7 linked regions of the Neurospora crassa OR74A genome follow. The protein of the gene in region 4 interacts with the protein of the main gene of each other region in a pairwise test. Links are inferred from orthologs where the notes say so. Each region holds a gene or a part of one and is shown on either strand. Other genes may lie near its edges. The genes, in order: NCU00664, NCU03799, NCU08036, NCU06994, NCU01184, NCU02717 and NCU02572.

Evidence for each region.
Region 1: the proteins of NCU06994 (region 4) and NCU00664 interact in binary tests that used the Schizosaccharomyces pombe proteins (3 or more experiments, as listed by UniProt). The link is inferred for Neurospora crassa OR74A from reciprocal best matches to the Schizosaccharomyces pombe genes cdc5 and cwf12.
Region 2: the proteins of NCU06994 (region 4) and NCU03799 interact in binary tests that used the Schizosaccharomyces pombe proteins (3 or more experiments, as listed by UniProt). The link is inferred for Neurospora crassa OR74A from reciprocal best matches to the Schizosaccharomyces pombe genes cdc5 and prp45.
Region 3: the proteins of NCU06994 (region 4) and NCU08036 interact in binary tests that used the Schizosaccharomyces pombe proteins (3 or more experiments, as listed by UniProt). The link is inferred for Neurospora crassa OR74A from reciprocal best matches to the Schizosaccharomyces pombe genes cdc5 and cwf3.
Region 5: the proteins of NCU06994 (region 4) and NCU01184 interact in binary tests that used the Schizosaccharomyces pombe proteins (3 or more experiments, as listed by UniProt). The link is inferred for Neurospora crassa OR74A from reciprocal best matches to the Schizosaccharomyces pombe genes cdc5 and cwf2.
Region 6: the proteins of NCU06994 (region 4) and NCU02717 interact in binary tests that used the Schizosaccharomyces pombe proteins (3 or more experiments, as listed by UniProt). The link is inferred for Neurospora crassa OR74A from reciprocal best matches to the Schizosaccharomyces pombe genes cdc5 and cwf4.
Region 7: the proteins of NCU06994 (region 4) and NCU02572 interact in binary tests that used the Schizosaccharomyces pombe proteins (3 or more experiments, as listed by UniProt). The link is inferred for Neurospora crassa OR74A from reciprocal best matches to the Schizosaccharomyces pombe genes cdc5 and cwf10.

What each region holds. Positions count from the first base shown.
Region 1 is NC_026501.1:7,640,706-7,644,726, reverse strand, and holds the start of NCU00664 (pre-mRNA-splicing factor isy-1), read left to right. Parts: upstream 1-1,221; 5' UTR 1,222-1,442; coding exon 1,443-1,445; intron 1,446-1,523; coding exon 1,524-2,240; 3' UTR 2,241-2,660; coding exon of another isoform or gene 2,661-4,021. Other genes in the region: NCU00665 (Ser/Thr protein phosphatase), read right to left, coding at 2,661-4,021.
Region 2 is NC_026505.1:2,453,753-2,457,853, forward strand, and holds NCU03799 (pre-mRNA splicing factor prp45), read right to left. Parts: upstream 2,758-4,101; 5' UTR 2,644-2,757; coding exon 2,503-2,643; intron 2,420-2,502; coding exon 1,918-2,419; intron 1,863-1,917; coding exon 1,737-1,862; intron 1,686-1,736; coding exon 745-1,685; 3' UTR 501-744; downstream 1-500. Other genes in the region: tim22 (mitochondrial import inner membrane translocase subunit tim-22), read left to right, coding at 1-47; NCU03800 (endosomal cargo receptor), read right to left, coding at 3,447-3,470, 3,537-3,803, 3,869-4,057. UniProt on the Schizosaccharomyces pombe protein: Involved in pre-mRNA splicing.
Region 3 is NC_026504.1:3,977,313-3,981,380, forward strand, and holds the start of NCU08036 (pre-mRNA-splicing factor syf-1), read left to right. Parts: upstream 1-1,268; 5' UTR 1,269-1,574; coding exon 1,575-1,625; intron 1,626-1,703; coding exon 1,704-1,874; intron 1,875-1,929; coding exon 1,930-4,068. Other genes in the region: vma-8 (vacuolar ATPase subunit D), read right to left, coding at 55-439, 511-521, 603-715, 797-811. UniProt on the Schizosaccharomyces pombe protein: Involved in pre-mRNA splicing and cell cycle progression.
Region 4 is NC_026504.1:4,815,494-4,819,645, reverse strand, and holds the start of NCU06994 (pre-mRNA-splicing factor cef-1), read right to left. Parts: upstream 2,801-4,152; 5' UTR 2,638-2,800; coding exon 637-2,637; intron 570-636; coding exon 231-569; 3' UTR 1-230. Other genes in the region: NCU06993 (Ash2-trithorax family protein), read left to right, coding at 3,452-3,906, 3,984-4,152. UniProt on the Schizosaccharomyces pombe protein: Involved in mRNA splicing and cell cycle control.
Region 5 is NC_026505.1:3,161,409-3,165,459, reverse strand, and holds NCU01184 (pre-mRNA splicing factor cwc2), read right to left. Parts: upstream 2,801-4,051; 5' UTR 2,611-2,800; coding exon 1,918-2,610; intron 1,855-1,917; coding exon 1,300-1,854; 3' UTR 1,031-1,299; downstream 1-1,030. Other genes in the region: NCU01185 (urease accessory protein UreF), read left to right, coding at 1-26, 132-1,030; NCU01183 (GTP-binding protein 1), read left to right, coding at 3,185-3,213, 3,294-3,322, 3,389-3,403, 3,467-3,491, 3,551-3,982. UniProt on the Schizosaccharomyces pombe protein: Involved in the first step of pre-mRNA splicing. Required for cell growth and cell cycle control. Plays a role in the levels of the U1, U4, U5 and U6 snRNAs and the maintenance of the U4/U6 snRNA complex.
Region 6 is NC_026501.1:3,300,054-3,304,067, reverse strand, and holds NCU02717 (pre-mRNA-splicing factor clf-1), read right to left. Parts: upstream 2,801-4,014; 5' UTR 2,702-2,800; coding exon 2,383-2,701; intron 2,306-2,382; coding exon 537-2,305; 3' UTR 333-536; downstream 1-332. Other genes in the region: NCU02716 (pre-mRNA splicing factor), read left to right, coding at 3,348-3,695, 3,798-4,014. UniProt on the Schizosaccharomyces pombe protein: Involved in pre-mRNA splicing and cell cycle progression. Required for the spliceosome assembly and initiation of the DNA replication.
Region 7 is NC_026501.1:2,767,260-2,771,327, reverse strand, and holds the start of NCU02572 (U5 small nuclear ribonucleoprotein component), read right to left. Parts: upstream 2,801-4,068; 5' UTR 2,592-2,800; coding exon 2,554-2,591; intron 2,394-2,553; coding exon 128-2,393; intron 10-127; coding exon 1-9. Other genes in the region: NCU02571 (acetyl-CoA acetyltransferase), read left to right, coding at 3,506-3,573, 3,675-3,724, 3,799-3,874, 3,969-4,068. UniProt on the Schizosaccharomyces pombe protein: Component of the U5 snRNP complex required for pre-mRNA splicing. Binds GTP.

The sequences.
Region 1 (4,021 bases), on a different chromosome or scaffold from region 4:
ACTTTCCCAGCCAGGCATTGCGGCGGCAATGGTAGTGCTTGGTGCGCGGTGCGCGTCCCAAGTACTCCAAGTTGTGGAAAGGACAGCCACACTAACTAACACTTGTTCTTCATCCAGACACCTGCAAAGATGATTCTGCCGCTCTGGACCAAGGCTGACTGATAACCTCGACAGCTAGCAGAACGTATCTCACATGATGCCCGTCTTGGAAAACCAAAACGGGACATCCAGCCTTGCGGCAACCAAGCCCCGATCCTTCCATAGGGTAAGGGGTTCGTAACTTCTGGTTAAGAACCACTCCATGGGTAGGATTCGGCGATTTATAAGGCTGGCTGTGAGACGTTCATGCTGGGTAGACGGTCGAGGCTACAGCCGGACCAGGTCCAGAGCAGAGGACCAGGTGTACACATGTCCGGATGGGGGTGCATGTGAACTGATGAGGAAAGGAGGAGGGGAAATGTAAAAGTATGGTGGAAGTAGTGCAGAAAGTTGTGGGGTACGAGTTGTTGAAGAGGCCTGCTCAGATATCCGTTCTTGTTGGGCTTTCATCTTCTGCCAGATGGTTCGTCGACTCCTCGAAGAGGAAAGATGCCCCTATCGGTGGAATCAAGACACCCTGAATTGTGATGGTCTTCTTCACTGCAGGGCCCCAGGAGTAGATGAAAGAAGTGGCAATGGAACTAGAAAGTGGTAAGTGAGTTCGTGATAGGTAGCTGAAGGTATTGGCTTGAGGAGGGGTGGTTGTGATTCGAAGAGGGTTCGTTGCCAGGCGCTGATAGATTGAGGCTGCAAAAATGAAAGGTCAAAAGCATGAAAGAAAAAATGGAAGTATAGAAAAGGATGGTGATAGAGTGTTGGCTCGCTTCATAGGTAGACCTCGGTTCGCATGCTCATTCAAGAAGAGCGATGTGCATCCTCGGGCATCGCCAGACGTGAAAGGAGCTACTCAGCTGGAAGCCGAACCAAACCGAGCCTCTCAAGTTTGCAGTGACTTCCAGAGCCGCGCGATACTGCGGCAATAAAATAGAATCCCGCGTTCTGAGGATGGCTGTAGATTTTCGTCGTTCGAATGGTAAAGTTCAAGGTGTAGAGGTAATCAATCTGGTGACTTGTTGGATGCAGGTTGAGATTCAGGACGGACGCGTTCGAATTGCGGCGCCCCGTAATCATCTGCAGTGGAGCTCGGGCCACAATCACAGAAACGCCACACCACCAAACAAACGAGGCATCACAGCCTTGCAGCCTTCTGTCTTGTACCAGTACATCATCTTCGAATTTCCGGCAATACGTAAAATCCACGGCTGGCCACAGTTAGACTTTCCACTGCGCCTTCAATCCCCAGCCGATCCTACTTGCCTCGTCTCAGGAGCAAGCTTAGGTTATCAATCACAATACCCTTCCACGCCTAATTTCCCCCGCGCAACCCATAATCACCATCCAAAATGGTATGTTCCTGATTAATCCCACTGTTCGACTCTTCTATCGGTCTGTACAATCCGTGTACTAACAATGTCCCAACCCAGGCACGCAACTCCGAAAAAGCCCAGTCGATGCTCTTCCGCTTTCGCGAAGCGCAAGCCGCCGACCTGGGCATCATCGACGCCGGGCGCACGCGCCGCCCGCGCTCCATCACCGAGCAAGACAGCATTCCCGCATGCGAAAAGTGGCGAGGCCAAGTCCTCAAGGAAATCTCCCGCAAGGTGTCCCGCATCCAAGACCCAGCCCTATCCGACTACCAGATCCGCGACCTCAACGATGAGATCAACAAGCTCATGAGAGAAAAACACATGTGGGAGGTGCAGATCCGCAACCTGGGCGGACCGAACTACATGCGCTCGGGAGGGAAAGTGTACGACGAAGCCGGGCGGGAGATCCCTGGTGGAGGGAGGGGGTACAAGTACTTTGGCAGGGCGAGAGAGTTACCCGGTGTGAAGGAGCTGTTTGAGGCGGCGGCGAGGGCGAAGCAGGATGATGAGAAACCATTGGAGACGAGAGATGATTTAAGGAAACAAGTGGATGCGGCGTATTACGGGTATGCGCCGGACGAGGAGGACGAGAAGCTGTTGGCGTATGAGGCGGCAAGGGAGAGGCAGGCGTTTGAGAACCTGGCGAAGGCGGCGGCGGGATTGGAGCCGCCTCCCGGATGGGAACCGTTGCCGGAGTGGGAGCTTCCTACGATGGACGAGGTTGCGCAGGAGCTTATTGACAGGAGGAGGCGGAGGCTGTTGGATCAGTTGTAGCCTGGCGATGACTGAAATGATTTGTAATTGGGTCTGTGGGAAGAGGAGAAGGGGGCACATGTCGGTTGCGCGGGCATGGTGATGGTTCGTTTTGTAGCATTTACACGGATACGGCGCGGCGTTCAAGGCGCAGAGTAATGGGATACATGATACTTTGGCGGGTTCGACAACCAGGTTCAGCTCAAGTGCTGGGTTTATATTCGTTTTGCGCACAGTACTCGCTATGTTACCATTGTTATTTACAGTCTGAAATCATTATCCCGTTCATAATTCATATTTGATCCCTCAATCCAGCCAGGTCATCAAGAAATAGACGCCAATGTAACACATCCCGTACCGCATGACCGAGCCCCGTCTCAGGCCGCCGTGCCTTCAGTTTCCCGTGCCAGCGAGATTATATGAACAACATGGCTGTTGTGCCTAACAGTTAGCAGGCCAGTTCTCCTTAATCCAGCCCGCCATCAATTCCGTAAAGGTCCCATTGACATATCTCTTGGCATCATCATTAGTGTAGTCGCCTCCGGAGATCTTCAGCGCAACCATGACCCATGGTTGAATGAAATCAAAGAACACGAGATCAACCTTTTCAGGCTTCTCGCCCTCCTCCTTGGGCGAGAACCCAACTTCGGCCTGGATGCAGTTAGGCACGACATAGAAGTTAATGGCAGAGTGGATAGCATCATCGCCATCGTCACCAATATCATCCTTTGTCGTATAGCCTTCGATCAAAACGGGCTCCTTCTTAGAGGCGCCATCACCCGACAGGGGCTTTTGCCCGTCCACAAGACCCTCAGTCGCGAAGGAAGGCATTGGCTTCTCATGAATAATGTCCTGTGTGATGGCAAACTGCTCCGGGATGGCCATAAATCGAGCATCCATAGGAGCATGCTCCTCCATGATCCGCCCAGCGTTGTTGAGTAAGCCGATAACTTTACTGGCAACCTCGTAAGGGACGTCGGGGATGTAGTTGAGGACGCTGAGGAAGGGCGAGATGATATACGTTGTATCTCTGGTAAATTTGCCCTTGAAGACATCGAAGCGGATGGCACCGGTGTTCATGATAACCAGACGAGGGACATCTTTCCTGTCGTCGTTGATGGCGATCTCTGGAAGAACCTCCTTCTCGAGCCACGTGTAGATGCTGTCCTCGGAGGGATAGGGCGCCCTCGTCATCCACAGGTTCTTTGGTGCACAGCCGAACGTGTAGTCCAGATCGAGATCCTTGCGGGCCTGGGCGATCATTTGTGATACATTTCGGCCGTGGTCTGTAGGAAATGTGGACTTGTTCAACCCGGTGTGATAGTAGAGGCCCAGTAGGTTGTTGTCGATGTACCTACGGTGGAACGAGAATTCCGCGGCCTCAGTCGAAGGCGGCTCGTCGTCATTGACAGCAGCAGCGACGACATCTTTGGTTGTCCTCTTCAGGTCACCGTCCACCGACATCCAGCCGATCGTTTCAAAGTAACGGCCGCTGGCGATAGCGAACGATCTGGAGTCATACGCCGTCGCGTCACGCACGTGCACATGGCCGCCGAAGAACAGGATGGGCGTTAATCGATTCTGCTTACGAATGGCTGTAAAGATCTCCTTGAACTCGGGCATCTTCACGCCGACGTGACCAATCACCACAAACACATCGGGGTTCTCCCGGATGGCGTCCTGGAACCATTGCTCCTTGATGGTCTCCCTCACGGGCTGTACCACTGTGTTATTGGCATTTCCGGTAAAGTCGAAAAGAAAACCCATGGCGACAATAGTCAGCTTCTGGTTCTTGGTCTGGA
Region 2 (4,101 bases), on a different chromosome or scaffold from region 4:
GTGCGGCTATTGATGCTTGGATGAGGATGCCTAGTGAGGAGGACTAAGGAAGGAGGGGTGAGAACGAACAGTAGGAGGAGAGGTGGGAGAGGTGGAAGAGGTAAGAAAAGGAGGAGGGTTAGATTCTGTTCGTGACGAACGTTTTGGTCTGATCTGCCTGGTCCGGTCCGGTCCGGTCTGGTCTGGTTTGGCTTGATGTACTACTACTGGGTTTGGTGTTGAAGAAGCCAGGGGAATGACCGGATAGGTCTTCGGCGATGAGACCTGGAAAAGCAGGTAACAGGCAGACTGGGCGTGCGTGCGTGTGTATGCATGGACATAAGACTTGGGATATGGGAAACGGCGTTAAAACGGGGGTGGCATAGATGCTTTTTTCCCTTCGTGTACAAATACGATAACATATAGGCATTGGACGAGGATAGATCTACGCTCCCCTAGCATTTCGGGGACTCGGTTTCGTGGACGGATAGATGAAGAGATCTCCATTCTTTGTTCGTTGCTGAGCATGTTATGGCATTGTAAAGTTTTCATGTGAAGACGGGAATATGTAAAGAGCAAGTTCAAACATGTATCATCTCGGCTTCGATCGGGGGTTAGGCGAAGTACTTTATCCTTTTTCGCTTGCATTATGTCTGAATCGCCCATGTGAACAAAACTCCTTGACATGCAGTACGACAAAGCGCGAGCCAATATTGGACATCACAGAACACAATGGGCTCTTCTCATTACCCTAGAGCCACTGACTTAGTCCTCATCGTCATCGATCCTCGTTCGTTTCGAGTCCCTCTCTCCATCATTCAACCCATAGCCGCGTTTGTTCGACGAGGAAGCACCGTCCTTCTCCACTTCGTTGAGGAACTTGTCCACGTTGAAGGGGTCCGCCCCCGTGTCCTTCTCGAACTGCACCGGCCCTTCCCTCGCCTCCGCCTCAGCCGTACCCTTGAACGTGCCACGACCCAGAGCCTCACCGAACCTGTTCGACTTCGAAATCCTCGCCATCTCGCTCTCGCCCGCCGCCTCGTCGTCGAAATCCTCCGCGTTGGCACGGGGCCTGTAAATGCTGCTGATAGCTTCCTGGGCGGCAAACAAAGGCTTGTCGTACGGGTTGTCCTCGTTGAAGCCGCTGTCGAAACCGCTAGACTGGTTGAACAAGCGGGAGTCATACATGCCCTCCTTGGACTGCGTGGGCTTGGCGAGACCGAGGGCGATCTTCTCCGAGATATCTCTGTCCATCTCGCGGGCCATGACCTGGGCTCTCCTCTCCGCACCCATGCGCGACTGTCTGAGTTTACGCTCCTCCTCGCGAAGTTTCTCCTTGCGCGCTTCCCTTCTCTCCCGCTCAGAGTCGTCATCGCTCTCGGAGCGAGATTCGGAACCGCTGTAAGAGCGGGATCGTGACCTCCTGCTCCGTCCACCAGCCGCGCGCTCCGCCCTGGCTTGCTGCGCAAGTTGGCGCAGATGTTCCTCCTTTTGTGCCTTCTCCTTCTCTGCCAGCCTCTGCTGCATCATGGCTCTCTGTCGGACTTCCTCTCTAGCGTGTCTATCGGCCATGAAGAGGGCTTCGGAGAACTGAGCGAACTTGTCGTTGATTTGCACGTCTTGCAGACCGCGGCCGTCGGCGGCCAATCTCTTGTCGAGCGGGACAGTGAAACCCTTGGGGTTCTTCCAGTTGGAAATAGGAGGTGCTATCGCTTGTTAGTAGACCACTCTCCTTGTGAGACAGATAGATGACTTACGGATTCTCCATGCTTCTTGATCCTCGGCCGTCAACTTCCTCGGAGGCGAGTGCATAACTGGAGGAGGAGGAGTCGGGGGTCCTCTGGGAATCTTCTTGTGCTTGAACTTGGGTGGCTCCATGGGATCTGCCAACTGTTAGTTTACCGCCCACAGCTAATGCTCAAGTCTTGAATGCCATACCTCTCTGTCGCTCCACAATCTTCATGATACGGTCTTGCTTCTTGGAGTTGTCTCCCATCTGCGCTGATGGCGTGTAGCGCACAAACGTCGGCTCTCGCTTCGTATTGATGTTGATGTTTTTGGGCTTCTGGGACGCCACGGCGCCGCTGACCAGCGCAGCCAGTGCATTCTTGGTCCTCTCCGCCGTTGCTTCCACCTCCTCTTTGCTCGGTCGTGACAAGTCAAGATCGCCCGCTTCGGCCCTCTGTCGCAATGGAATCAGATCCTTGAATGACGCGTGAATGACCCGGTCGCTGCTGTGACCCTGTCGTGCGATCGCTGTGTAGTCGACCTTGCCCTCTCCATCAACCTGAACAACTAGCGCGTTTGACTTGTTCGAGGCGTCCTTGCCCCAGGGATACTGAGCAACGGGAATCTCTGGAAAGGCACCGCCATCGCCGAAATCCTCTGGTGCACGCGGTCGCCAACCTTGTCGATTTCCATACGGTGGTGGTCCGGTTCTCTGGGAGAGCGGAATGTTAGCATTAGCCGGTTTTCGAAAGCAAGCAAGCAAGCAAGCGGATAGTGGAGGGTGCGGTTACTGACCCTCAGCACAACTTGAGTTTCGTCAATTTGGCCGGCGCCGACAATTCTGGGACCGCGTTGCTGTGACTTTGATTCTTCGTATTCGCCGCTGTATTTTGGCTTCGGAAGAGCCTGAGATAGGCCTGCTGCTATCGAAGCCATAATTGTCGATCAATGAGTGGTTGTTGAAGTGATGCTTGATTGTCGCAAAATCGGTTGCGATGGGGTTTGGCAGTTGACGTTTACTTCGACATCACTGCCTGCAATGAAAAGAAGTTCCAAGCAATGGTAGGTAGGTGGCTCAAGCGCGACGCTTCAAGGTCCAGTGTGGCGCCAGAGGAGAGCCAGTGGAGATACGTAGGTACCTGTAGCCAGCACTGCAGCCGCGGCGCTGGCATACCTACGGGCTACGGCACAGTAGACGAGACATGGGCATCCTTATCGGTCTCCTTATCAGAAGGGAAACTTGTATAGTCTACATGTACAGGAACACAATGTAGTCTAACTTGCTGCTGCTTTCAGGGGGCATCAAAACACCAAAAGCGGGCTCTCTTTTCTTTTGTATACCGCTGGTAGTGTCATGTTGGCATGAAGTTCAGATCCAAGTTTCCCGTAAAATTGCCCAGTTCACGACATGTCCCTGGCTCGCAATAGCTCAGGTCTGTACGCTCAAGTCTTGTACACTTGACCTGCTGAGAACATTCACAGTGCCATTGTCATTGCACGCTTGCACTTCTATTATGTTTTAGTGATAACTGGCCGCCAAAAAAATCCATCAGTCATACATGTAGATCGAAAACCAAGACACAGGGGCATGTTGTTGACATGACCACCCGTCGCCAACTCGTAAGCCATCATTATATGATATACACCCCATGCAAGCAAGACCTGTGCTGTTTTTGTGCCTTACGCCCGGCCAAGACCAAATCAATCTCACTCCTTGGGAGTATAAAAGTAGTACACATTTATACATAACCCTTCCGTGCGCCCTGTGTCGTCCATCCTATTAGCATCCTGACGCCAGCCTGGAAAGTTGGACAAAATGTGAAGCTTACCTGGAAGAAGAATCTAACGATAAAGACCTGTAGAGCACCCATCGCAATGACCAGCAAGATCTGAATCAAACTGAAGTTGACAATTCGCTTCTCGGTGCTCCTGACTGTGCTGAAGTTGCGGTTCTCGCGCGTGCGGAAGTACTTTTGGTTGCGGGTGACGGTAGAAAGCTGCATCGAGATCTTGAAGAGAGACTCCTCGAGAGCCGAGGTCTGTTCGGGGGAGCTACCCTGCTTTGAAGGGATGGTAACGCGGGCCTCATCTTCGACCTATACCCTCACAGTCAGTATAAGTGGTAGGTGGTGGAGTAAAAGGGGGCGCCTGGTGTACTGACCGCAAGCTCGAAGTCGACGAACTTCTCAGCGAAGGTGCTCATCTCGTTGTTGAAGCAGAACTTGTAGTCACCGATCTGCTTGCCGGTGAAGACAAAGTCGCCCTGGCGTTCCTTCTGCCCATCCATAATCACATTGCCATCGGGGCCGGTCACTTCATAGTCGATATCGAACGAGCCTCCTGATTGTACCTGCGCAGCCAAGGTTAGCACATCGGTCCCGGCGCATGACAGTC
Region 3 (4,068 bases), about 840 kb from region 4:
GTGTTAGTGTCCCCCATTCTATCTTGCAGGGAAGACAGGTTTGGTTCGCCTTACATCGCATTGACTCTCCGGTTGACGACCTTGATGACCTCATCAAGGATAACGAACGCCGTCTGCAGACTAGCCAGCTCTACCAAGGCCTCCACCGCTCTGGCGTACGTCTCACGACACCGCTGTACCTGCTGACCACCCTTACCCAGACCTGTCATGGCGAAGTCGTCGTTGCCCTCGGCCTGGTAGGCTTCGAAGGCGGGAAGTAGCACACCCGAGACGTTCTCCTGCTTGGCCCGGATGCGGAATCGCGCCGACTTGGCCGACTCTTGGATCTGGTATCCAATGTTGCCGCCGACGGCGTAGGTGACTTCGGCGAGGGAGAGCGAAGCGATCTGCATGACGCGGCCCATCTTGCGCTTGGCTTCGTCAATTCGGCGGGTAATCTCTGTGAGGAGACAGGTGTGTTAGAGTGTCTACATTTCGCGGATATCTGGTGTGTGCGAGAGTGGCTAGTACCTCTGAAACGCCTGTTGAGTGAAATCAATATGTCAGTATCAAGCTCTGTGTAAAGGTATGGATGGACATGGGCCGGGAGGGGAACAACGAACTTGGTGAGAGCTTCACTTTTTCTCTTGAGCAAGCTGTGACCCGTCTCGGCGCCCTTGAGTTTGGCCTTCATAATACCCAAGGACTGCCGTGTGGGGAAGACGGCCTCGCGATCCTATCACCACCACTCATTGTCAGTCAACGCCATGGACCCGGTTGTAGTAATTGCGGGGGAGCAGCTAGGATAGGCTCATACCGCAGCTCCAGACATGTTTGCGATCCGGCAATGGCCAAGGTATACTCGAGGTAGGGTATAAGACTAAGGCGACGGTAGGTCCTGGGGGCAGTAAATGATGGTTCGAGGAGTCGTGATGCTATTCCATGCGACAACGACAGATGATAGGTACTCTAGGTTCGATATCGACTTGGAGGAGGGACGGCCCGGCCGTGGTTGGTGGAGCTCGATGTTAGGTTGGAGCTTGGATGTGAGGTTGAGACGGCCGCCGCCCACTGCAAGTCCGCCCTACGTAACAACTGGATCCAGGACCACCACCACCCAGAGCAGCAGCTGGAGGCCTTCGTCCCGGGGATGCGGCTGGCACCTGCTGCGGATCCTGCTGCCAAGATCTTGGAGGTTATCAGCAATTAACCCCACTGAAATTGGCTCTTGTTTAGCGGGACATCTGCCAAATGATCGCTCTAACTCCGTAAATGCCCCTGGAAGGCTACGGTGGTCTGAGCTTTCGCGAACTTCCACTTCCACTTCTGAACAAGGTTGAACTTCGAGACGTGCCGGGCTCCCAGGAAAAAAAGTATCACGGACAAAATACAGCGACAACAGCCAGCGAAAACGAAACGCCGTCGTCGTCCCCCCCATTCTTCGCATCTCGTTGAGAGGCTGGCCCAAAATCGTGGGAGAACGGCAGGAATGCCTCTAGGGATCTCTTGATCCTTGAACATCGATTTTACTCCTTCCTCCAGTGACGCCACTCCCGGTCTTCTTTCTGCAGTCCAACGCGGACCACCCCTTCGCCATGTCTATCCTTTCACGCGTCTCCGACCGTCGCCCAGACCTCTCTTTGGTCGTATGTGTTGCTCCCCTTCTTGTCCGGTCGTCTCTGCTACAGAAAGACAAACTGACGATCTGACCTGTGTACCGGTAGAGCGAGGAGGACTTTCCTTACGAACAAGACATCGTCCGTAACCCCGGCAGCACGAAGCCATGGCTTGCCTATATCGAGTACAAGCTTCAGAAAGGGACGGTCCAGGAGCAGGCATATATCATGGAGCGCGCCTGTGTGCAACTTCCTCGATCCTATAAGCTTTGGAAGATGGTAAGTACTGGAAACTTTCCCCAAAGTCCAACATGCCAACTGACTTGGTCGCCAGTACCTCCGGTTTAGGACGAAGCACGTTTCGAAGCTCAATGCCGCCATCTTTGCCTCGGAGTACCAAAAGGTCAACAGCCTCTTTGAGCGGGCCCTCATTCTCCTCAACAAGATGCCTAGGATATGGGAGATGTACCTCAAGTTTCTGATGCAGCAGCCGCTCGTGACACACACACGTCGCACCTTCGATCGGGCCCTTCGCGCTCTCCCCATCACGCAACACAATAGGATATGGGCTCTGTATCGACCCTTCGCCAACTCGGCCGAAGGCGAGACGGCGGTCAAGATCTGGCGCAGGTACATGCAGGTTCACCCAGAGGATGCCGAGGACTTCATCGAGTTGTTGGTGGCAGTGGGGCTATATACGGAAGCCGTGCACAAATACATCGAAATTCTCAACAACCCGCGGTTTACGAGCAAGAACAGCAAGGGACACTACGAACTGTGGAGCGAGATGGTAGATTTGTTGGTCGAGCATGCGACGGCGGTGGAAACGGGGCATGAGACGGGAATCGATGTCGAACGGATCATCCGCAGTGGTATCGAGCGGTTTGCCGACCAGAGGGGTAAGCTGTGGTGCGGCTTGGCGACCTATTGGATTCGACGAGGCAGCTTTGAACGCGCACGAGACGTTTTCGAGGAGGGTATCACAACCGTCATGACCGTTCGAGACTTCACCCTCGTCTTCGATTCGTACACGGAGTTTGAGGAGTCCATCATCAGCGCTCTGATGGAGATGGCATCGACCCGGGCTGAGAAGGGAGAGGTGGACGAGGTGGCTGATTTCGATTTGGATATCCGAATGATGCGGTTCGAGCATCTAATGGACCGCCGGCCCTTCCTCTTGAATGATGTCCTACTGAGGCAGAACCCGAACAATGTTACGGAATGGGAGAAGCGTGTGGCTCTATGGGGCGACAACAAGGAGGAAGTTGTCAAGACTTACCTTGATGCTATCGAAGCCATCCAACCAAAGAAGGCAGTGGGTGCGCTCCACCAGCTATGGACCAATTACGCCAAATTCTACGAGGCCGGAGGAGACCTTTCAAGTGCCCGAAGAATCATGGAGAAGGCTGTCAAGGTTCCTTACAAGTCCGTGGCAGAGTTGGCAGACATGTGGATTGAGTGGGCAGAGATGGAGCTTCGAAACGAGTGCTTCGACGAGGCCATGAAAGTCATGGCAAAGGCAGTACAGGCGCCCAAGAGATCCACGGTGGACTATTTCGACGAAACCCTATCACCACAACAAAGGGTTCACAAGAGCTGGAAGTTGTGGAGTTTCTATGTCGACCTTGTGGAAAGTGTCAGCTCGTTGGACGAGACCCGCAAGGTGTACGAGAGGATATTCGAGCTTCGCATCGCCACTCCTCAAACAGTAGTCAACTACGCCAACCTGCTGGAGGAGCACAAGTACTTTGAAGAGTCGTTTAAGATCTACGAGCGCGGTCTCGATCTCTTCAGCTACCCCGTGGCCTTCGAACTCTGGAACCTGTACCTCACCAAAGCCGTCGACCGCAAGATCAGTATCGAGCGCCTCCGCGATCTCTTTGAGCAAGCCGTCGAGGATTGCCCACCCAAATTCGCCAAGGTCATCTATCTCATGTATGGCAACCTCGAGGAGGAGCGCGGCCTCGCGCGCCACGCCATGCGCATCTACGAGCGGGCCACGCGCGCCGTCGCCGACGAGGACCGGGCCGACATGTTCAACTTCTACATCACCAAGTCGGCATCCAACTTCGGTCTGCCCTCGACGCGGCCCATCTACGAGCGCGCCATTGCGGCCTTACCCGACGCCGAGGCCCGCGACATGTGCCTCAAGTTCGCCGACATGGAGAAGCGGCTGGGCGAGATCGACCGCGCCCGTGCCATCTACGGTCACGCCTCGCAGTTTTGCGACCCGCGCACCAACCCGGGCTTCTGGACCAAGTGGGATCAGTTCGAGGTGCAACACGGCAACGAGGACACTTACAAGGAGATGCTCCGCATCAAGAGAAGCGTGCAGGCGCAGTACAACACGGATGTCAACTTTATTGCTTCGCAGGCGCTGGCGAGGAGTCAGCAGAAGAGGATGGAGGAGGAGGCAGCAGGAAACGGAGGAGGAGAGATGGACGCCGAGGTTGCGGATGCGATGGCGCAGTTG
Region 4 (4,152 bases):
GGAGAAGAATTCACTGATATTGAGAGGGAGGTTGGTCATCGTACTATACATATTCACACGGTGCATCGAGAGACGTCCTCCAAGTACATAATAATGTTCAATGCTTCTTATTTTGAGCTGCTCGACGTCAGTGGCCATTCCACAGACAGTTGCCAGACATACCATGCCATGCCAGAGTTTAACCAACACTCAATTATTCACAACCTGACCACACTCTTCCAACACATCATTCAGCGGAACCCATTGGCCTTCGGCCCGTTGAGCGTCAAAGCATCCAGCTCTTCCCTCGTCCTCCTGTATAACTCCTGCGCCTCTCTCTCCCTCGTGCTCACAAAGCCCACCTCCTCACGCAGCGCCGCCAGCCGGTTCCGAATAGCGGCCTGCTCCGAGGACTGGAGGACCTTGAAAGCGCCCAGAGCGTTGTTCGCCTTCTCCAACGCCTCGTGAGCCTCACTGATCTTCTTCCGCAGCATTTCAGCCCGATTCTTGTAACCGCCAAGATGCAGGTTGAGCTTCTTCTCGAGCTTGTTGCCCTTCTCTGCCGAGGCGACGATTTGGTCAATGACCTCCTGCAGGTTAGGTTAGCCAGTAAGCCTTCGGAAGGCAGGAGGCAGAAAAGGGGTTAGTTGTACATACCTCAAGCGCAATTTGCATAGTGGAAATCTGCTCTTCTTCTTCATCGTCCTCATAGCATCCCAGCCCAAGCAAAAGGGAGCTGCTGTTGCTCTTTTCCCACACCGCTTGAACTTCTTCCGGCTTTGGTTTATCCTTGATTTCCATCAGAACCTGAAGCTTGGCCTCTTGCAACGCGGCGTCGTCGATTTTCTGGATCTCCAGTGCCCGGCCAGTTGGCTGAGCTCCCGGTAGAGGATACTTGGTGGCATCATGAGCTACGAGCAAGGCCGCTTCACGAGCGATGAGAACCTTGACAGGGTCCTCGGCCTGCGAGGCTTCCTTCAAGAGTGACTGATAATCGACTTGGACAGGCCGAGGCAGATCCCGCTGCATGACCTGGGTACGTCTCTTGCGCTCCAACAGCTCTCGCGCCTCCCTGATCTCCCTTTCTCGTCGATCACGTTCAGCAGCATCCTCCTCCAGCTGCTCAGCGGTCTTGGGCTCTTGCTGATCGTCCGGCAGCTCGAGCTCCCACTCGGTCTCTTTGGGCTTGGGAAGAGACGCGAGGCCTTGCTTGAGCTGGTGCCGAATAGACATCTCGCGCATCTTAACATCTCGGGGTGTGCCGCCCACCATGGACATTTCGTCACCGGCATCATTGAGAGCAAATGTATCACGGGGAGTGCGCAGTGGTGTTTGGCCGACGCGGAGGGGCGTGGCGCCAGGACCAGCTCCAGCTGCCCGCAAAGGGGTGGCTAAGGGGTTAGGGGTTGACATGACCTGCTTCCGCGGCGCAACCGACTCGAAGCCGGTAGAGCCCACCCCCTGGTGTAGAGGTGTGTTCTCTCCACCGAGCAGCGAGGATTGCGTCTCTGTTAGTGCTCGGATGTTGCGGATCTCGTTTGCGATGTGGTCTTCCTGAGCGGGGGCCATCGGTGTTCGGATTGGCGCATTGGTGTTGAGTGTCGAGTAGTTGTTGATCAGGCCACGAGTTGCGTCGTTGTCGCTTTCGCGAGCCAGCATATTTGCCCGTTCGCCAATCATGCCCATCTTCACAATTTCCTCCAACTCGCCTTCGCCGACCTGAGGTGCTGGCAGGACCAAAGCCCTCCGCTTGCTGCTCTGTTCTGCCTCGCGCATCTTCTGCAGTTGACCGGCCTTGAGGGCGGCTTGCACAGATGGGTCCTTGTCGCCCTTTCTCCTCTTGCCGTCTCTCTCGTCCTCTTCACCCTTGCGCTTGTTCCCAACCTGCTGCTTCTTGGGGTCGAAATGGGCGCGCTGGTACTCGTTGCGAGACATCTCCTCGGTGGTGTCATAGAATCCGGGAACAGGCTTCTTTTCGAATGGAATATCGGCATTGTAGTCCATCTGGCCCTGCTTCTTTGTCGTAACCTTGATGTTGATACCGGCTGTCTTCAACTCGCGACGCTTCTGGAGAGCGGCCAGTCGGCGTGACTCCTCCTGCTGTCGCTCACGGGCCTTTCGCTTGGCCTTTTTACCCTGTGTGTTGGCCAGACGCGCGCGAGCCTCGCTCAACATTTCTTTCTCATCTTCATCGAGATCGATGGTGTCGGGACGGGCGGGTTTCGTCTCCGGATCGGGGTCGACCTCGCCAGGACGTAGTTTGCGAACATCGTCGGCGCTGGGCGCGTGAGCTTCGCCTCCATCAGGGCCCGTCAGCCCAAGAGCGGACGCCTCCCTCTGCTCAGCTTCGTCGAGAAGTCTTTGGTATCTTTCCAGGCACTGGTTTGCGGTTCTTCCAACGATGGGGGCAATGGTACGCCATTGGGTCGGCATCAGCTTGGCGAGGTGCAGCAGCTTCTCATCCTCCTCCTTGCTCCATTCGATCTTCTTGATGCTGGGATCCAGCCATTCGTTCCATCTTGCCTTGCACTGCTTGGGCGTCTTGCGGGCCAGCAGCGACGAGACGCGGGCCCACTGGTTCAGGCCGTACTTGCTGACCGACGCCTTGAGGATTTCATCCTCGATGTTGGTCCACACACCTCCCTTGACGACGGGCATCTTGTCGCTCGGCCGTTATGGATACTCGTCGGGCGTTGTAGTGATGCGGGAGTCGTTCCGGTAGGTGGGAGGACACTCGGGGTTGGGGTTGTCTTGGAATTGGAATTGAAAGTGTTGAAATGTTGTTGTGTTGATGGGGAAGAAATCCAGAAATTCAAAGCGCTGGCGTCAAGGCGAACAATGGAATCACCCGCGACGCAACTGCCTTGGCGTCTTTCCCAGTATCAACTGTCAAGCGCTAGCCAACCTCAAGACCTTTTTGCGGCAGGCAACAGGTTCCCGCGCTGTTAGCATTTTTGTGTCCCATGCATGTGGTAACTAACAAGCGAGCCAAGCTCCGGGACCCCTGCCTGCCGTTAACCACTAACAGAAGGATGCCCCGCCCTTTTGTCGCGACACGCTGCTGCTGTTGGTCGAGTGGATGAAGCTTCCATCCACCATTTCTGGTTCACATGTCTTTCTTTCCTCTTACATTTCTCAACTCTTTACAGAAATCCCCAGAAAGAACATCAAATCGCTCCGAAACTGGACTCTTTAACCCAATTGCGCTCTCCAAAAGTACGCGTCTTCTCCGAGTACCAAAGCATTTACCCGTAGGATCACCATCGGGCAATTCTCAGATTATTCTTAGCATCCATAAGCTGTCGTCGATCAGAAGAGCTCCCGTCGGTACCTACTTTGGACTTGGAGTGCTCGCCGTTCGAGTCCAAACACAAGTCGACTTCAGGACAAGGACAGCTTGCGAAAGCAAAACTAATCACTTAGTTAAATATTTGTCAACGTTACTGCTAGCACGACGTCTGCCGAGCTACATATGGCCAGCGACGTAGGCTCTCCCCGAAGGGAGCAAACACCTTCCGGAGCTGCCACGACGATCCCTCAGAAGCGCACGCTCGAAGACGACCACAGTCCAGCAGTTCCATCACCCCTAAACCCAGATAACAAGGCCGCTCCAAGAGTCCAAATACAGGCACCCGAAGACACCCAGCAAGCAGCCGTTCTAAACCGCGAAAAGAGAACAAAGAAGGACTCCTTCAAGAAGAGGGAGGCCAAGGCAGCAGCAGGCGGTTCCGATAGTTCTAGAGCAACTCCAGACCCGAAGCAGCAACACAAAGAGCCCTTGATCAACGAATTGCTCCCCGCGCGCTATAAGCTCGCTCCGCCCAAACTTACTGATTTCGAGCCCGCGCGCGGTCCCGTCTTCACCAGCCATCATGAGGTTCAAGGGCCCGAGGGCGAGACCATCGAATTCTTTGATGCAACCGAACAGTATGTCTTATCTATATTTGCTCCTTCGCCATTCTCCATTCATGCGGAGCATATTCTGATTTGCCTTTTTCCTACAGTGTCTTCAACAAGCGAGCGTTCCATTACACTCACTGTATAGCCGACCCAACGTTTCCTTCCATGTTCTACTATCGCCAGACCGAGACCGAGCCGTACGCTGCCCACATGGCCTTCGAGGACTCTGCCTCCCACGTATACTTTGACCGACAGGGTCGTCATGTCACCACC
Region 5 (4,051 bases), on a different chromosome or scaffold from region 4:
AGAGTCCAATCTTGGGGTGATACCAGGTGAGTTGCACCTTGTTCTACCCTTCCCTTTCTTTTCTTGTACTCGACTCCATCGATCAAGACTCTCATCATAACACAAAACCCTCACTAACACAAACCCTCCAGTCCCCTCCCCGTCCCAAACCATCCTCCACTCCACAGCCAACCACTTCCTCCTCCTCCTTTCCGACTCCGCGCTGCCTCTCGGATCCTTCGCCTTCAGCAGCGGTCTCGAATCCTACCTCGCCCACAACAAATCTTCTCCTTCCCCTTCGCATTCTACATCAATTGTCACTAACAAACCACCCAAAACCAAACTTCCACCACCCTCCTTCACCTCTTTCCTCCCCCTCTCCCTCTCCTCCTACGCGTCCACCACGCTCCCCTACGTCCTCGCCGCCCACCGCGACCCAGCCCAGCTCGCCCTGCTAGACGACACCCTCGACGCAACCATCGTCTGCACCGTCGGCCGTCGAGCATCGGTCGCCCAGGGCCGAGCGCTGCTTTCCATCTGGGACCGCTCTCTGTCCTCGTCGCTACCGCCTTCGTCTACTTCTGCCGAAGCGGCGGCTGCAATTCTCAAGCCTTTCTCGGCTTTGCTTAGATCTGCAGGGGCGCCACCACCGTCTTCCACCACCACCACCACCACCAGCAGCAGCAGCAATCCATCGACATCGGGCGGAGGAAGAAGTAGCGGGTGGAACGACCCTCCACCCGTCTCCGCCCACCTCCCGCCCCTCTTCGGCGCCATCTGCGCCCTCGTCGGGCTCTCGCTCGAGCAGACAGCTTACGTTTATTTACTTAGCCACGTGAAGGCGCTGGTGAGCGCGGCGGTGAGGGCGGGCATGTTTGGCCCCTACCAGGCGCAGAAGACGCTGGCGAGCAGGCAGGTGCAGGAGATGATTGGGGCGTTGATGAAGAGGGAGTGGGAGAGAGGCGTGGAGGAGGCGGGGCAGAGCGTGCCGGTTATGGATTTGTGGATTGGTAGGCATGAGGTTCTTTATTCGAGGATTTTCAACAGTTGAGTTGGGGAGGGGAGGACTGGGGGGACGGCACCGGGAGTTGAGGGTGAAAAGGGGTACATGGGCGAATTGTGATTGGGAAATGGTTTTTGTTTACTTGGAAAAGGGGGCGGAGGAGTCAAAGCATGGCCACAAATCTGTATGGCACATGTTCAAACGCTCTTAACTTGGTATCTTATTATTTCCTAGGCCAAAAATGGCATCTATGCACTGGCTCCTGCTGCCTCATTCTCTTATCATCATTACCAAAATAACTTCTTCCCAGTTATGTCTCAGTCGCTGTCATCGTCACTACCATAAGCCACCAGCGGTCCCGCCGAGACAGGTGCTTTCGGTTTTGCCGCAACTGCAACTCTAGCAGACTGTAGCGCAGCAAGCGTGCTACCAGACAAGATCCCACCGGAACTCTGTTGTTGTTCCTGAGGATATGCCTCTTCCTCCTGCTCCTGTCCCCATCCTCCAGCCTCCCCAGCTTCGAGCATGAGCAGTTGCTGATCCTCCAGCTCGTACCCTTCGCGACCCCTTGGGTTGACCGCATTCTTTCCCCGGGCAAAGTGTACCTCGTCTGGCGCCTCGTATCCTTCCAGGCCGTAACTGCTCTCGATCTTCCTCCGTTTCCGCGCCTCTGGGTCTTTGCCCTCGATCTCGGCAACATACGCGGCAGGCAGCGCCCGTCGAATGGCTTCGGCGGCTTGCTCCTCGATGCGTCTTGCCTCGCGTTTCTGCGCCATGGGGTTGGGATCCGCTGTCGCCCAGCGAACGTTGAGAATCTCGTTATGGTCTAGTGACTGGTGGGCCATTGCTTCCTTGGCGAATTGGGCGTTTGCCTGTAACCAGCGAATTAGTACCGAGTTCAACATCCAAGCAAAATGCTAGCAACCGTGGCTTACCTCATTTGAATAAGTGACGAACGCCACACCTCTCGTGTTGAGCACACGTATTCTTTCTATTTGGCCCCATTCGGCAAAGTGACGGGCCACGATCTCCTCAATGTCCTCCGTCACGTGGATTCTACCAATATAAATTGTCCGGTTTTGCCTGCTAAAGCTGCCCACACCGCCCATGTCGTCACGATAGTCGCTGAATTTGTCGCGCCCAAAACAGTCCACATTGGGGTTGAAAATGTCGTGGATTGTAGGTAGTCGATGGAGGTACTCGCAATCCTGGCCCTTGGGACAGACGCCCCTCGCAAAAAACAGACAAAAGAACGATCCTGCTACTCCGTCGGCGCGCGTGTATCCAGTGTCCAAGGCGATATTACATCTTCCCTTTGCGTGTGTTTGGGATAGGTATTTGTCTTCGCGATCGCCACCGGACCACTTATTGTACCAGATGTTGAACGTTGTTCCTGTCTGCGGGGGCGGCTCGGATTTGACTAGCGCCGGGTCGATTTGAGGTCGCGCCGGTCTCTTCTTGCGCCGGATGATCTTTTTGACCTTCTTCTCTGTTGGGGCGGCGACTTCGGTGTTCGTTGTGGTGAGAGCAAGCTCCTGTGTCTGCGCGTCTGTCGCGTCTTCTCCGGCTTGCGCTTGTTCAATTACGGCGGAGACAGGCTCCTCTTGCCTGGTATCGACTTCGGCCATGGTATGTCGGATTGGGATTCCAGATGTGATTTGGTTCGAAAGCAAGTATCGGTACTCAGTTGGCCTTTGGTTGCGCGTCTTGTTGCCAGGGTAGAAAGAGGATAGCGGATACGTATGCTGCAAATGCGATGACAAGTGGAAAAAGACAATGACGCCGAATTTGGTTTACGATTTGTTGTCTAGGCCAAACTCGCAGAGCACAGACTCTTTTCCGAGATTCCAGGGGTGTTGGACTTTTGGAGAATTTCCAAGCCTGGGCCGACCTTGGCTGACAGAGACCCACTCCGCTCCCGCAGATTTTATGGGTCTTCCAAAAGCGGTGAAGGACAAAACCCACTTCTGCTGCCCCTCCTGTCCGGGAAATTCTGCCACTTGGGAACGTGGGGTGCGCACTGATATGTTTGACATTACTGTTCCTTACAGCGTGTAATTCATCAACCTTGAATTTCACTTTCAGGGCCGATTCACTTCTCATCAGCTTGCCAGCCTGGTGTTTACCTCGAGTTATATCGCTTCAGTCTTTGTTTCTTTTGTAAAAGCGATACCAAGGACAGACCTGTCCTAAACCGCCAAGATGGTGAACATTACGGAAAAGATCAAGGAGTAAGCTGCACCATTGACGCTTCCACGGTGCCTGCGTGTTCGACTTGATGGAGTTAGTCAAACTGACCATAAGATACAAGGATTGAGGAGGAGATGAGGAAAACCCAGAGTAAGACCACGTCCCTATGCAAACAAATTGACTGAAAGCCATGAACGCTAACATAAGTTTTAACAGAGAACAAGGCAACTGGTACGCTCTTTATCACCTGTCTCCAACATCATTCATGTGCTGACCTGGTGAAACCAAACTAAGAATATCATCTGGGTCTCTTGAAGGGGTAAGTGAGTCTACACCAAGCGATCCTTGATATTGACTCTCACTAACGCCCATCCACAGAAAGCTCGCTCGTCTCCGCGCTCAACTACTCGAGCCAGGGCCGGGCTCGGGCGGCGGTCCAGGTGCCGGTTTCGACGTCAGCAAAAGTGGTGATGCTCGTATAGCACTGGTCGGCTTCCCGTCAGTCGGTAAATCCACGTTCTTATCCAAGGTCACCAAGACCAAGTCCGAAGTCGCCTCATACGCTTTCACGACCCTGACAGCCATTCCCGGTGTGCTCGAATATGGCGGTGCCGAAATCCAGCTGCTCGATTTGCCCGGTATCATCGAGGGTGCCTCCGAGGGCAAGGGTAGAGGAAGACAGGTCATTTCCGCCGCCAAGACAAGCGATCTGATTCTTATGGTTTTGGACGCCACAAAACGTGCTGAGCAGAGGGCCCTCCTCGAGGCCGAGTTGGAGGCTGTAGGCATCAGACTCAACCGGGAGCCACCGTACGCCCCCTTTTCCCTTCCCATGTTACTTTTCTACCGACGCTAACGATATAATCCCCCTTTGCCTAG
Region 6 (4,014 bases), on a different chromosome or scaffold from region 4:
ATGATGATGATAATGATGGTCAACAGGTTGGGTTTTATGAGGATGATGAAGAAACAGATCAATTCCGAGAGGTTGAGAGAATGACAATGATAAACAATGTATGCCTCTTTGCGAATTCTCACGATATATGTATAAAGAGAAGGCCGGTAGTCAGTTTCTTTCATGGAGATAAACGATACTTTTTGGACCCACGAATACAATGTGCTGGAAATCGACGTCAAGACCACCATGAGATTCGACGGCCGAGGAAGACCTGATATCCTCAGAGTATCCCAACATGTACAAAGCCGTATTTAATCGTACGGGATATGGAACAACCTACCAAGCAGTTGGTTAAAATATAATTCACACCTTTCATCAAAGTATGGGGTTTCTATCGTGGTTTGGGCTTTTTATGTGATCTTTAATACCGAGAACAACTCAAGAGGTATATATGTGTGGGAGTAAAGATCCGCACCATATCGGTTACTGTATTCGGGGGGAAAAGTTTATGGGCTTCTTGGTCTGCGGCCTAATATAACATTGCATCTCCTACACTAGCTGCTCCCTCCCTGAGCCGCTTCATCGACAGCAGCGCCACCAGCACCCCCCGCGGCCTGCTGTTTCCAAGCATTCGCCATGGCCAACAGACTCGACAAGTTCTTGGTCTGCTGATCATCAGCCGGGAAGATATAATCGACATATTCCTCCCAAGTATCATCCTCCAGCTTACGCTTCTTCTTGGTCTTCCTAGGCATTTGTTTCTGAATCTTTTCGATATCCTCCGCCGACCCATGCGTCTTCTCAAACGCCAACCACGCGTTGAGCAGCGACACACGCTCGGCCTTGAGCTCGCGCTCCTTCATGCTCTTGTGCGCCCTCTCAAAGATCTTGCGAGCACGTGCCTTGGCCTCTTCGCTAACAGGCTTCTCTTCCACCTCCTCCTCCGTTTCTTCCTCCTCCTCGGCCTCGTCGGGTATGTTGATCTCGAACTGGGCGTAACTGATCCAGACCTTGGGGTGATCGGCCTTCTCGAGCAGGCGCTCGTACAGGGCACGCGTCCGCTCGTACTCGCCCTCTTCTTCCTCGAAATCGATGTACGCCTTCCATACCACCTCGGGCATGTCCAGGATCGGCTGCGAGACAGCGAGCTCGAAGATGGCGCGGGTGCGCTCGAGATCGTCGAGACCACGTTCCAGCTCGGCCCACTTGATCCATGTTTGGCAGTTGGCCGGGTTGTACATGACATGCTTTTCGTAGAGGGTGCGGCAGCGCTCGAACTCGTAGAGCTTCTGCTCGAGGAGGATGTACTCCTTGAAGATCTTGTCTTTGGGGCACATGCCGATGGCGCGGCCGAGGGTTTTGCGGGCCGTCGTTAGTTGGCCCTGTCGGATCTCGAAGTGCGCCTTGGCAACCCACACTTTGGCAAAAGTGAACTTCTTGTGGGGGATCAGGTTCAGACAGGTGTCGTAGATCTGACGGGCTCGCCCGATATCCTTTGTTTCCCTCTCCTCCCATATCGCGTAAAAGAGGAAGAGGAAAATGTACCGCCTCCAGTGTCGCTTCTCTTGGGTTGGCGGTACTTGAGCAATGGCTCGCTCGTAGACTTCTCTGGTCCGATCGACATCTCCTCCGCTCTCCTCGAGTCGCGCAAAGTCAAACCAGACGTCGTAGTTCTTTGCGTTCTCCTTGACTTGCTCCTCGTACAATCTCCTCCTCTTTGTAAGAATGACGTCCTCCACACCCTCCTTGTCGCCAAACTGCTTTTCAAATGTGGTGTAGTGGGCATGTAGCGTCATCGACTTGGACCGAGGCAAGTTGTCGAGGCCAAACTTGTAGATGGCACGGGCCCGCTCATACTCACGCAGACGGGCCTCGTACCGGGCGAAGGCGATGAATATCCTCTCGTCAACGGCATCGTCGCCTAGCGTTTCGGCAATTGTCTGGATAGCTGTCTGGAAGACCTCGCGGACCGTGTCGCTGGTCCCGTATTCCTCTTCAAACTTGGCCCACTTGAGCCACGTCCTCGGTTCCGGATGGACGGCGGTAAAGGCCCTGAAGATCTCCCTTGCCCTGTCGAACTCGCCGTAACGTTTCTCTAGACGGATATAAGCACTCCACGCCTGCTCATCTGGCTGCCACTTCATCCACCGGTCGAAGACTTGTCTGGTACCCGGAATGTCGCCGAGCATCTCCATAACGTAGAGATACTGGTACCAGAGAGATGTGACTCTGGGCAGCCGCGTGACAGCGCGGTCCAACAGATTGCGTGCATGGTTGATGTTACGGTTCTTGATCTCTGCTTGAACGTATCGGATCCAGAGTTCTGTTGGACATATCGTTAGCGACTGATGTGCGCCACATTTAACAGCACATGGACACTTTGAGTTTAGACAAACATACGAGTATTGTTGGGATGTACATCCAGAGCGCGCTCGAACACAGAGCGAGCCCGCGCAAACTCCTTCTGTTCTAGCTCCCATTGAGCATACTGGAGCCAGTTCGATAGACGAACTCGGTTACGCCGCACGTAGTCCTCAAACTCCTTGCGCTTACGACCTTGGTATTCCTTGAGCTCCTCGAGGTCGGCAAAGCGCTGTGTCGGGGTCTGGAGGTTGACTTCCTGGCGGTCGACGGCCTCGCGCAGCAGCTGCTCGGCCGAGATCTGTACAGGCGCAGGGGCTTTATTCTTCACCCGTGGCGGGCCGCGCGATGACTCCATTGTGAAGATGGGCGTAAAAAGTGGCGATCTGCAGATGTTGGCGTGGTGTTGTAAGTTCGGTTTCTCAATGAGATTTTGGGGTCTGGACGCAACAGCAGCCAGCCACTGAACTCAGTTGAGGACGCGCTGCGATTGATGGACCGTGGCTCGATGCCCCTGCCTACTTACTGAACCTTGCTGCACAGTGGGTATGGACACTTTTCGCTCATCATGTCATTGTACATCTGATAGGTAGTACATGTCCGACCTCAGCGAGCAGGTTCGCCCATAAGACGACGCTGAGCCGCTGGAAGGCCGCTGTATTGGGTGTGGCTGCGAACTACGCCTACTTGACACTATCTACTCACTGCACTGGCAGCTATCGGCGACATACCAAGCCGCACTGTGTACGACCGGCAGGCAAAGCACTGGCGCAACGAGGTCAGTACAGTACGCTAGGCCGTGATGCAACGCCGCGGTCTCTTGCCTCCATTCTTCCCAAAACCAAAACAAGTCGACAACACATCGAACTCTTTTCCATTCTTTCTTCGGCACACGGCAGCTGTTGTACCTGTATCAGCGACTGTCCCGTTTACTCCTGAATCTAACCACCTTGAGACCCGAACAGTCGCCGAATATTCTGCCCAGGAAACAGGGTTTTGCCAACATGTCGTCTACTCTCGACGAGCTCCTCCAGGACTTTGAGGACTCTGGCTCCGAGGCCGGTGGCGAGGAGTATGGCGATGGTCTTCTAGGCGATGGCGTTGACACGACTGGAGGCTCCGGCGTGGACGACGCACATGTACCGATCAATGATGAGGATCAAGATGAAGGCATGGGCGACGAGGAGGGCGAGGACGAAGACGAAGCTATGGGTGGCGTCGGCGCCGACGACTCGAATGCTGTAGAAGATCCCGAGGAAGCAAAAGCCAAGGTTGAGAAGATGCATCTGGGAGGAGTGCGAGATGTTCGAACTGTTGCGACTCTTATGAAGTCATTGAAGCCAGTACTCGAGGTTAGTTCCCTTATACCCGTTTGCGGTGCTCCCTTTGAACATGGAAAAGCGTTTACATCTTATTTGAGCAATAGCCCTGACAGTCTGGATCGAACGTTGCAGAAAATCGCACACTATCAAGCACAACCCGCTCAGGCCAACGACGTCGGCCATGTCGAAGATCACCCGGAATACAACCTCTTGACCAACGCCAACAGACTGTCTACTCTGATAGACAGTGAGGTGGCCCTTGTCCACAAGTTTGTGAGGGATCACTTCTCCGCCAGATTTGCTGCACTCGAGTCGCTATTACCGAACCCAATCGAATACTGCAAGGTTG
Region 7 (4,068 bases), on a different chromosome or scaffold from region 4:
CTTGTCAACCTGTTCATCGTGTTAGTAGCCCGGAAGTAAGAGACGGCCCGGTTTCGACGATCACCGCAAAAACCTGGGTAGAACGGCAACTGGTGTCCCGAGCATGGGAAAGGAACTCGCAACTGACCTCTGATGGTAAGGTGTCATCCTGCAAGATGTTGGGTCCCATCTCGTCTGGACCGAAAGCCCAGATACTCCTGGCTGCAAGGAGATCCCAGCCATACTTCTCCTCGAAAAATTTGGCGATCTTTCGTACAGGATCCCGAATCCTGACCGCTCCGGACTCAATGTCCTGCGCGATACCATCCTCCAATGGCTCCGCCACCATTGTAATGGTGTTCTTCTTATTGGGGGTAATGGCGTAGCATTTGGTTGCGGACATGTCCTGTACCGTCTCGCAGAATCGAACCACAGGATCCGATACCCTGATCTCCATATCGGCATATAGACGACGTAGGTCATGCAACACGCAGTCCATGTATAGCTCGCCAGTACCAACAATAATATGCTCTCCCGATTCCTCTACCTTGGTGGTAATGAGGGGGTAGCTCTTGTTGATTTTCCTGATGCCGTCAAGCATCTTGGGTAGTTCAGACGGATTGATGGGCTCGACAGCAACCTTAACGACGGACTGGGTGAAGTGCGAAATAGGTTTGAAGATGTAGGCGTCCTCATCATCCTCAAATTTCTTCTCCACAATAGTGGCAGTCTTCACGATCGAGTTGTCCACGCCGCCCAACAGAACCCAGTTACCAGCGGGCACGCCGTCGGTTGGGATGTTGTATCGTGTTTCGGCAATGAAGACATCGGATATCCTCCCCATGGCCATATCTTCTTCGTCGTCGATAGAATAACCCTCGCCAAGCACGCGGACCTCTGTGCCAGGGCGCGCAATACCGCTCATCACACGGCCAAACGAATAGAAGCTCTTCGCATCGGGAGCACTGAACAGCTTGGACACATACAACACAAGCGGGCCATTTTGGTCGCAGTTCAGCATAGACTCAGCAACCTTGCTGTCCAGAGGGCCTGTGTAGTACTGTTCGAGCTTTTGCTTTGCAGCCTCAGCCGGCGATGGGATATGCTGACAGACCATGTCTACGAACCCGGTAGATGGCCCAAAGAACTGCTCGCAAACCAATTTCAACAAGACCTTGGGGTCAGTCTTGTACTGCGATGGCTTGAGCTGAATGCCCAACTTTTTCAAGGTACCCTTCAGTTCTTCCGGACTTTCGCTAATCGTATGCGAGTACAACTTGTAAATCGGCTCCATGATGAAGTTGACAAAGGACCTCTTAGCTCCTTCTTCGATGGGTTTCCTTGTGAAACTTCGCTTTTGCGGGTTAAAGTAGATGTCTCCCCAGAGGCGCCTCGCAAACTCTTCCGAGTTGACACCACCATACGTGTCCGAGTACATCTTGGCGAATGACTGAAGAGTGAAACACCAGCCCATGGACGTGCAGGCAAACAGAACATTTCCTCTCTCTGGACTTAACCTCCTCTCCTCACCTCGGCCTGGAATTGTGTTCTCAATGACAGTGTTGACTTCTTCGATCACATGCTTAAGTTTGTAATAGGCATCGTTTGGCGGCAACTTGAGCTCGAGAATTAACCGGTCCATCTTGTTGACAATGAGGGTGAGTGGGATGTTCTCCAAAACGGCGTGCTTGATGATCTGTTCTGTGTTGACCTGAACCCCCTCCACGACATCGACCACCAAACAGACACCATCCACAAGCCTGAGCGAAGCCGCAACTTCGTCAACAAAGTCCACATGACCTGGCGTATCGATCATGTTGAAGAGATGTGATTTTCCTTTTGTTCCTTGGAGGACCAGGCTCATGGGCGAAGCCTTGATGGATAACCCACGTTCCCGCTCGAGGATGTGAATGTCTGTGTACCGCAGCTGCTCGTCGCGCTTCTTTCCCGTTCGCTTCTCAAGTTTGTCCGCAATGTCGTGCGTCTCTAACACCAACATATCCATGAATGCTGTCTTTCCGTGGTGTAGATGTCCAGCAAAAGCCACGTTACGGATTTGTTCGGGGAAGTTCATGAGATCGGCCATGAACGTGCGGTCAAAGTATACGGGAGGTAGGTCTGCTTCTTCGATGCTGAACTTTTTTTGCTCGACAGGGGCGATGATCGGCTGTGTTAACGGTTGCGCATCCTCCTCTTGAACCAAAATTTCGACGCCCTCGCCATAGACCTGTGCGGCTGTCGGGTAGTACTGCTTGTCTTCGTGGAGAACAACGGCGTTGGAGGGGCCTTCATCGTCAACTTCCATCATCTCCTGAGCCGGAGCTTCTGGGGCTTCCTCTGGGTAATCATCGTAAACGTAGTTTCCAGCGTCGACACCATGTTCAGACTCTTCCTCGGAGGCTTCAGCATCTCCGCTACGAATCAATGGTTAGCACCGCCGAAGGAGAGAGCATCATAAAGTAAGCAAGATTGGACATTAGCCTCAAAAAGACGATGGAGTCTTGACCAAAACACAGCCCAGACAGACCATCCTTCTGCAACGTGACGACGTCATGGAGATAGCATGATACGTACATGAAGTTTCCGAACTCGTCGTACAAATCGTCGTCCATCGTGTATCGTCGATGATAATTGAGCGTTACTCCAAAGCCGCTTTGTCTCGAAAAGGGTAGCTGTCGCGTTGTTGAGCAATGGGAGTTCAGAGATCTTGACTGGAACGTTTGCTGGATTTTCGTCGCTGTCTTTGCGCAAGGCTGATGTCAACCAGTGAACTCTCGCCGCGGCGCGCAGTGGACCAAGCTTCAACCGTGTAGCGCTAAACTTGGAGGTCCCTTGCAACTAATGAAAAAATGGCAGACTTCATTTAAATGGTAGAGACTAGTGTTTTAGCAATGTGGCGCTAGCTTCGGCATCGACCACAGGAAGTGGCTGGTGCGCAGATCTACTGCTCAACATTATCAGATCATCTGATAAAATCTTTGCTCGCAATGATGGCACCACGGGTCCACGGCAGACATGCAAGCAGATTCCCGCAGCGGACCACGTCAGAAACCATCCAGGCCATCGCGGTGCCCCTCAGGGTTCTAACACTCCATAAACCCCCACAACTGCCCCTTGCCCAAGCTGCCACATCCTAGTCTATAAAGACGGGTTCAAGAGGTATCATGGGAAGAGAGCCAGTTGCCGCCGGCATCGGACACCTCACACCACTTTGTCAAAGTCTGCGAGGGTCCATTTCTCTTATTCCTGAAGATCGGCACTTTTCCGGATAAAGACTGATAAGACCTCGCGTTGAAGGCGGTGAGAAGACCTGAGGTGACAGCTACAAGGTCCCCGTCGTCTCAACAATTTCCCCTATCCTGTCCCGCGTCCAAAAGACAATCCTGGTAGTCACGGGCTGAGCTTTATTAGAACAACGCTTCCCACATCTTCACTGTTCTTACCTGGCTTCACCCGCTTTCATTCCATAATCTTTAATTCCAAAACCCGTCTTTTTCCTCAACTCCAAGCTTCCAAACTAGCCATCATGTCTACCGGTCTTCCCTCCGTCTACATCGTTTCTGCCGCCAGAACCCCTGTGGGGTCCTTCCTTGGGTAAGCTACCCCGCCATGTCGGCTGACCTGGAGCTGTTGTCAGAACGATACAGGAGGGACGAAGCGTGAACTTCGCGTTGCTGATATCTCTGAACTTGTAGTCAGCTTTCCAGCCTCTCTGCTGTTCAGCTCGGTGCCCATGCCATCAAGTGTACGTCGGTTAGAACCGGTTTCGAGAGGAGTATTAGATGAAACGTGTCCTTAGCTAACCACTCCTGTTTCTAGCTGCCGTTGACCGCGTTCCCGAAATCAAGGCCGAGGATGTTGAGGAGGTCTTCTTTGGCAATGTCCTCTCTGCTGGGTACGTAGCCATAGATTCCTTTGTGCGCAGCGAACGCGCCGCCGCGACTCGACCCTGGAACAGCACAATACTAACCACATGTCTTTATCCTCAGTGTCGGTCAGGCTCCTGCCCGCCAGTGCGCCCTGAAGGCCGGTCTCTCGAACAAGGTGGTTGCCACCACCGTCAACAAGGTGTGCGCTTCCGGCATGAAG